Linked DNA regions of Nothobranchius furzeri. The protein of the gene in region 1 purifies or fractionates together with the protein of each later gene. This does not show direct contact. Links are inferred from orthologs where the notes say so. Each region holds a gene or a part of one and is shown in the gene's direction. Other genes may lie near its edges.

Evidence for each region.
Region 2: the proteins of anapc2 (region 1) and anapc13 purify together in Homo sapiens (affinity purification with mass spectrometry; 3 studies listed by BioGRID and IntAct, counting the BioPlex papers as one, with this or other methods). This does not show direct contact. The link is inferred for Nothobranchius furzeri from reciprocal best matches to the Homo sapiens genes ANAPC2 and ANAPC13.

Annotation. Positions count from the first base shown.
Region 1 is NC_091745.1:17,481,300-17,485,444, forward strand, and holds the start of anapc2 (anaphase-promoting complex subunit 2), read left to right. Parts: upstream 1-1,345; 5' UTR 1,346-1,528; coding exon 1,529-1,627; intron 1,628-2,150; coding exon 2,151-2,400; intron 2,401-2,569; coding exon 2,570-2,891; intron 2,892-2,969; coding exon 2,970-3,102; intron 3,103-3,167; coding exon 3,168-3,387; intron 3,388-4,145. Other genes in the region: E3 ubiquitin-protein ligase RNF25, read right to left, coding at 399-470, 685-797. UniProt on the Homo sapiens protein: Together with the RING-H2 protein ANAPC11, constitutes the catalytic component of the anaphase promoting complex/cyclosome (APC/C), a cell cycle-regulated E3 ubiquitin ligase that controls progression through mitosis and the G1 phase of the cell cycle.
Region 2 is NC_091744.1:86,652,769-86,656,919, forward strand, and holds the start of anapc13 (anaphase-promoting complex subunit 13), read left to right. Parts: upstream 1-1,351; 5' UTR 1,352-1,552; coding exon 1,553-1,651; intron 1,652-4,151. Other genes in the region: pierce1 (piercer of microtubule wall 2 protein), read right to left, coding at 70-399. UniProt on the Homo sapiens protein: Component of the anaphase promoting complex/cyclosome (APC/C), a cell cycle-regulated E3 ubiquitin ligase that controls progression through mitosis and the G1 phase of the cell cycle.

The DNA of each region.
Region 1 (4,145 bases):
AAATTAAAATATGTTTCTAGACATTTCTGCTTAGGACCAAATGAGAACCACTATTGTCTACTCAGTTTAATGAATACACTGGCTGCACTTTCCAATTCATCACTCAGTCATTTCCTGGAAAAATAGATACTATTATGTTTGTTTTGATTGCTAATAATTTTTTATACAGATGCATTTAATTCTGGTTGACTGTCATTAAATTAAACCCATGGTAAGAGTTAAAAAATATATATACATATATATAACATAATCAGCTGAGTTTTTTCCCATCAAATAGATTTGGGAGACATTCTTATCCCTTTGTTGCAAATATTTAACGTCTTCATATCATTATTTGCTCACATATAACCCAACCAGTGATTTATAACACAAAGATGTTCTGAAATGAGCAGATTTACCCCTCGTCCCTTCTGTCCACCTTCAGCTCGTCCAGATAGATGGACTGCAGAACCTCGATCTCAGACTGAACACTGTAAACAAAAACGGTTTTCGGCTTATTTACTGTTTTTAGCCTGGCCCTTTTGACGTAACCTGTTAGCTTCCCCTTCAGCTAGCTACAACACCTACGACATTTCATCCGATTGTACCGAGAACAGCAAACCTTAATGTGCGGGAGCGTGCGGGTAAAATTCAAAGCGTGTCATGAATATTTTGAAGGAATTTTTGCCATATCAACAAACTCACTCGTACTCGGTTGCCATGATGATGTCTCTGCTGCTAGCTGCTGCTAAGGCGGATACGGTTTTCACACAACCTGTCAAAATAAGAGACACGACGGCGTTTAAAAGACATGTCATGATCCAGTTTTTAAAAATGTTTATTTATTTATTTATTATTTATAGCTGTATTTGTGTGCATTAAGCATCTATGGTCTAAGGAGCTTTGTCTTCAAGCAACTCAAAGAAGTCCAGACGCTTTTCTTTCAAAGCTCCTTAGACTACAATGACCTGGATGACTGAGAACCTTCACAGACATTAAGCATCTATATTACTCTCTAAGATATGTCGAAATATTTATTGATATTAACATCCGTTTCGAAAGATTTTATTTAAATTTTATACAAAAATAAGTACAGTTTCATAACATTTGGCCTTTACTGACACCTGGTGGAGTTTGTATAAGCAATTTTGAAATGTTTTATTTTGTAGTTCAGTTCTGTCAACTTGTGTCTGTGGCCGGCTGTAGTGATTATTCTAACCGCTAGAGGGGGCGAGTAAACATTAAAACCGATTCAAACTCAACAAATACTTTTTACGGACGGTACCTGCAGGGGGCAGTGTCCACCCCTGTAGCATGTAAGTGATAAAAAAAAGTAGAAGAAGTCAACCCGCCATACCATGTTCATATCTGTATTGTAAATTACTATTTGCTTGAATGGAAAAGTTATTATTTAGTAAACTCGTTGAAACACGGTTGAGACACGGGGCATGCTTTTTACACATAGCGCCGCGGTAAGACAAGACATGCTGAGGTTTAAATGCTGAATCTACAGGAGCCGGTTCGGCATTTGTGAAGAAAGTGTCATAAAATGGAGGAAATGATGATGGAATCGGATTCGGTGGAAATGTCTGAGCCCGGAGCGCTCCAGGGGCTCGCTGAGGCGTGGGAATCCGTGACTGCAGCTTTGGTGAGTGGGTCAGAGCCTCGGACACGAGCAACCAAACACTGAATGAAGTGCTGTCACAAGACTCCATTCGTAAATCACACGATTGAATGATGTTTTGGATTTTACATTGGTTTATTAAGGGCTAGACACAAAACTGGCGTTATAAATAGTCAGCAGGAGTATTCGGTGGATTTCGGCTTACATTTGTTGACGTCATCGTGTTTACTGACAACTTTACTCCATGCAAAGAAAAATGGGTTGACTACTAACAACTCAATATTCATAAGTTTGAGTCAGCCATTTAGTTAAAAACAAACACAAATGACATGTCGAAAAAGGCTTATATTAAACACCTATATTATAATAAAATGTGTATTTTATGTTGGAAATGATTTTGCTCTTTTACTCAGTTCTGATTCCATCTCTCATCCATTCCTACATTAACCACCTGCCCCTGAATACCAGACATCCAGCAGCCCTTTTCTGGTTGGAGATGATTCTGTGGTGGATTTCATACCACCATTCTGTTTGGGTCCTTCTCTAGGTGTCTTCTGGATGCCCGGTGTCTGACCAGAGCCTCTCTGACTCCTTGCTTCTGCTCTGCAGTCATGGTTTGGGCCGACTGCTCGGGATCTGGCTGCTGGAAACTTTGCAGATGCGCCTGTCGTCCTCGGTGGTTCCAGAGTTCTGGTCTTGCCTGAAACAGCCGGAGAACGAGCTGGAGGAAAAAGATCGAGCATGGGTTCTCCTCACTGCTTTTAGGACTCTGTTGGACCGCCTGGAACCTTTTCTGAGCAAGTAGAACAAATACAGTAGTGATGACCTTGTCCTTGAATCTTTAAGATTTTATTCCAACTTCTAAAGTTGTTTGGATTTTTTTTGCTTTCCAGACTTTCACTATATTATTTTGTGGATAAAACCAAAGAGGAACAGGTAATTAGTTTCCCATCTCCCTCCATGCAGGTGGTTTGGAGAAGCTTGGGGCGTGGCAGGATGAGGGTCGTGGTGGTCTGTGTGGTCCAGGTCCCAGTGGCCTCCAGGAGCGAGCCTTCACCACCATCAGAGCCCTCCTGCTGTTCTCTCCTCCCCCCATTCTGCAGGAGCGAGTGCTGGAGTTTTACAGCAGGACTTTCTCCGTCTACATGAAACTGGAGGGCAGCGATGAGGATGTGGCCGAGGCTCCAGACAGCCCCAGTGGAGGGTCCTGCCCAGGGTGTGGGGTCCCGGTCCTGAGGTGCTGGTGTCAGGAGGCCCTGGAGCAGCTGCAGGAGCTCAGCCACATACTGTGAGAGGATCTCACTGCTGATTGTTTCTGCTGTTGCTTCGTCCGGATGAATGTTTGATCAGCTGTTTGTGTTTGTAGACTGAAGCTACAGCTGCTGGAGTGGGTCAGCTCAGAGGCCATCACCTGCATCCTCCACAAGCTCATCGAGCAGCGGATGGAGCAGCATTGCCGGGGCGAGTACGAGCGCTCCTTCTTGCTGGACTTCCAGGAGGTAAAACCCCTTTTCCACCGTTTCCTCTCCTGTCTTCATGTTCTGACGCTCTTCTGTCCCTGCAGTGGCTGGAGCTGGTTCTTGGCTGGCTGAGCAAAGTGTTCGCCAGTGAGGTGGACGGAGCCACTCCTGTTCCTGCTGCTCCCAGTGGTCCCATTCAGTCCAGCATCCAGGGCACCCAGCCTGCCAGCTCCATCATGAAGCAGTGGAGATGCCACATGCATCAGTTCTTCTGCAGGATCTACGTCAACATGAGGATCGAAGAGCTCTTCAGCATCATCCGAGGTGAGACCTGAGGAGAGGAGGTCATGTTTTATCTTCATTATGTGGCTGATGCAGTGATGGTTTGTTTGTGTTTATAAATAAGGTCAGAACGTTAAACCTGCTTTCTGAGGCTTTGTGTTTAACGTTATCAGAGATCTTCTGTGTTTCATCAGAGCAACAAGCAACCATCTGGTCATTTAGAGATAATTTAAAATGTTTAAATTTTTATTGTTTTAAATTAAAGGGACTGTACGGAAGTGTGACAGCCAAAACATGTATAGAAATAATAAATGTCTTCTTCATACATTCTCCTGCAATGCCCTGGTCCTGTAGAATGAGCCCTGGCATTTTTACTGTGATTGCCTGTTTTTCTGTAAAATCACAGAAAAAGAGAGATGCTCGGGTCGAGCAGGCTGCTTCATGCGCGTTCACGCTCAGGCATAGCCCGTAGCATTTGCTATCCGTAGCTTTAGCAGCAGAGAGAGAGGCAGTGCCAACTTCCTAACGCCTAGTAACAAACCTAGCTATATTTCTGAGGACCCTTAGCTACTTTCTGTAGAACTTTCTTCTAGATATTTCCTGCAAATTAGCAACAAAATAGCCATTTTCGCTTCGAACCGTTCTTTGAACGTTTCAGCTGTCATCAAGGATATAAAAGTTATAGATACTGTGAATGTTACTAGAGTGTAGCTCACCTTGTAAGATGTCTGACTCTCATGCAGAAGACCCGGGTTAGATTCTGGATGTGAACATAGTTTATTTAGAGTTTATTTTTTACA
Region 2 (4,151 bases), on another chromosome or scaffold:
AGGAAAAGCTGCAAATCATCCAATTTTTATTTATCCATTTAAATCATTTAAATGAAGTCAAATATAAATTCAGAGGGTGTAATGTAAACTGGGACAGTCATGCACCCTGCTCCGGTCAAGGGCCGTATTCAAAGAATTATCTTGGTACATCCCTCCTCTGCTTTGTTCCTTAGTAAATCTGTGAGACTTTGGGTGGTAGGAGTGAGGTGAGCTTTCAGGGGTCGGAGGGAAACTGCCATAGGCACTTGAAGTCGTCCTGTACAGGATCCTTCCAATGTTTGGGTTTGTTGCTGATTTCATGCTTCTAGTTGCCGAGGTGGTAATGGAAGAGACTGCTGGGTTTCCAGGGCTAGTGCATAGTTCTGTGATTTCTGTCTGCTGCTCTTGTGACAGGGACATCACTGGAGTGTCTGCAAAGTAAAAGAAAAGTTTACAACACTCAACCCCTACAGGACCAATCCTGCTGAAGTCAACTTCAGTAGTTACATATATATATATATATATATATATATATATATATATATATATATATATATATATATATATATATATATATATATATATATATATATATATATTTGTGTGTGTGTGTGTGTGTGTGTTTGCTTAGAAAAAGTACAAAATTATTATTAATATATAAAATTAATATTAAAATTATATTGTTAAATTATAAACAGCTTGCATTATTATTAGCTTTTTAAAATTTTGGCTATGTGAGTGCTTTTTGCAAACAGTATTATTTAGTGACATTTAAAATCTGAGGACAAATAAACCACATCTTTAATACCGCACACGCGCGCACACACACACACACACACACACACACACACACACACACACACACACACACACACACACACACACACACACACGCACGCACACACACACACACACGCACGCACCCACAGACAAATACGTTTAGCTAACATTTCCTGTTTTGAAGTAGTCGGCTAGGGATTTTTACAGGATTATTGGATACATACATAACTAGATGCGTCTGAGGCTTACTAGGGCCTCCGCTGTTTGCGTACATTGTTATACTAATTACCTTAAAATACACAAATACCGCAAAAATGTCCGCGCTGTTTTGATCAGGCCTCGCCAGTCGCCAGCTCTTCCGTGGGTCAAGAAAAACGATGCGTCTGGTTTCCATGGAAACCACTTAGACGAAGGAAACGGAATCGTTCATCTTTTTTAGTTTTGATTGCTTTTTACTTTTATAACAGAGTGGTTTATTGATAAACAACAACATTGAATAAATCAGACTGAATTAAATTGCTGGTCAAAATATAGAACTTTGTTGGCTTTGTAAAAAAATTCAGAAACTCTCCACTGCACCTGAAGGTATCGTTGTGTCGTCATCATCAAGCGTCGACGCCTACGTCTAAATTAAGCGTCTGTTTACTGTGAGCTAAGCGTAGCGTCTCCTCTAAGTGTATATTCTATCGAAATTATTTACCGCTGCTCTCTTCTTTTATTTCGATGAACTTCAGCTTTCCCTGCGAGGTTGAGTGGGTTTTTGTTGAGAGCTGTTTCAGCTGCTGAACCTGAAATGGACAGTGAAATTCAACGAGACGGGAGAGTCCTGGATCTGACTGATGATGCCTGGAGAGAAGACAAACTACCGTATGAGGATGTCACCATCCCCTTGGTAAAAACGTTAAACGTGTTTGCATTAAAATACAGTGTGGTTAAACAAATGGTAACGTATCCCTCAAATGACCATTCCGAAGTTCAAAATAAATCATTTGTGAATTATAAAAAAGAGCAAGTCACCCCCAAATCAATTTCTTTTTGCTGATAAAATACATAAATAAGTGTCTAATCAAGCTGTAGACACATGTAGTCAATAATTTGGCATTTTAGAGCATCTTAGTTAAAATTTAAATATTCTGCCCAGAACTGTCAGTGTTACACCCTCTTCAGGTAATTTTAAATCTGCTATCGCTATTGGCTAAGAGGTACCCTATGATGTCAGCTGGCACCATATGATGTCACAATAGGCATGTTTCCATTACCAGAACTCCAGGGTAGTTCCTGGGATGGGGAACTTGACCAGGAGATAGGATGTCCCAGTCCTCTCAGCTGTTGTGTCTCCATTCAGATTCAGCCCTTTCAGAACTTGCACAGACGTCAGCGGGTCACGACTGCTTTGGCAGTGAGTGATGTCACTGATCAGCCCAGAAAAGTGCCCAATGTGTCATTAATAATATCCATCCATCTTCTGAACCCGCTTTGTCCACGTAGGGTCGCGGGGGGGCTGGTGCCTATCTCCAGCGGTCAACGGGCAATTAGGCGGGGTACACCCTGGACAGAGAGCCAGTCCATCGCAGGGCAACACAGAGACACACAGGACAAAAAATCATGCACACACACACACATACACACCTAAGGACAACTTGGACAGACCAATCAACCTAACAGTCATGTTTTTGGACTGTGGGAGGAATCCGGAGAGAACCCACGCATGCACAGGGAGAACATGCAAACTCCATGCAGAAAGATCCCAGGCCGGGAAGCGAACCCAGGACCTTCTTGCTGCAAGGCAACAGCTCTAACCACTGCACAGCCCTCATTAATAATATTTAAAGCATTTATTTTATAGAAGTATATCATAATTTAATCCATTCAGAGGACAAGAGCAGCTCTGAGTTTTGTGAGACAAGCCCCTGGAGTTATCCCCCAGGCTTTCAAACAGGCAGTGGTCCAACCAGTTTTGAAGAAAGCTGGTTTGGACTCCACCTCCCTGGAAGCTTCCATTTTTATCTAAGCTTCTTGAGAAAGATGTTTTTACACAGCTCTCTGACCATTTGCAGACTTTTAACCTTTTAGACCCTTTGCAATCCGGGTTCCGTCCCGGTCATAGTACTGAGACTGCCCTTCTTAGTTTTTAATGATGTTCTGTGGTCCACTGATTCCGGCTCCCATGTTCTACTGGTGTTTCTGGATCTCACAGCTGCTTTTGACACCGTAGACCATGCTATACTTCTGTCCCGACTGAACCAGGTAGTGGGCATCCAGGGAACTGCCCTAAACTGGTTCAGATCGTACCTCAGCAACAGAAGTTTTTGTGTGAGGCTGGGGGATTTTGCCTCTGAAACCTCCTCTCTTCCCTCTGGTGTTTTTATGTTTCATTAAAACCTCAAGAGTCAGTGCAGCTGGCTGTGGATTGCCTGAATGAGGTGAATGGCTGGCTTTATAATAACCTTTTACATCTGAACGAGTCTAAGTTGGAAGCTCTCTTGTTTGTTCCTCCCTCTCCCACTTCAGTTAGTCCTGTCCTACCACCCTGTTTTCGCAGCTTAGTGAAGCCAACCATCACTAACCTGGGGATGGTTTTTGACCCGGAGCTGCAGATGGACTCCCACATTAGCCAGGTGGTTAGATCCTACTTTTTCCAGCTTCATCGGCTATCAAAGATGGAAGTCCATCCTGACTAGACACGACCTGCACACAGTGATCCATGCATTTGTGGTCTCTCGCTTGGATTATGCAAATTCCCCTTTTTATGGATCCACGTCTTCCTCGGTTGTGCGCCTACAGCTGGTGTGGAATATGGCGGCCTGCCCTTTGACGGACACCAGAAGGAGGGAGCACATTACTCCTGTTCTGACCCAGCTGCACTGGCTCCCAGTTTAAAATTTTACTTCTTGTTTTTAAGTCACTATCTTTATGTGCCTCTCTACTTGACTCAGCTGGTTCAGCCCAGTTCAACTCCGGTTGTAGCTAGATTGCTACCTTCGTTAGCTTAGCTCCCACCTCCGCGTTGGCTTTGGGTTAGCTTCAGGTTAGCTTGTAGCTACATTAGCTTCAGTTTGACCGGGTGTCGTCAGTTGATCCCAGCCTTACAGCCCCACCCTCAGCTCCGCCTCTCTTCCCTTTTGTGGAATTGTCTGGGCTTGACGGAACCTGTGACACGGTCAAAATGGCGGTGGTGGCCACCTCCCATTTTGGCACAAAAACTTTTAATTGGAGCCTATGGAAACTCATTGTCCATATATATATATATATATATATATATATATATATATATATATATATATATATATATATATATATATATATATATCGATGGTTCAGCCTTACGTACCTGGTCGAATTCTTCAATCAGCAGACCACCGCCTGTTACAGGTCCCGAGTGTTTGGGTGAA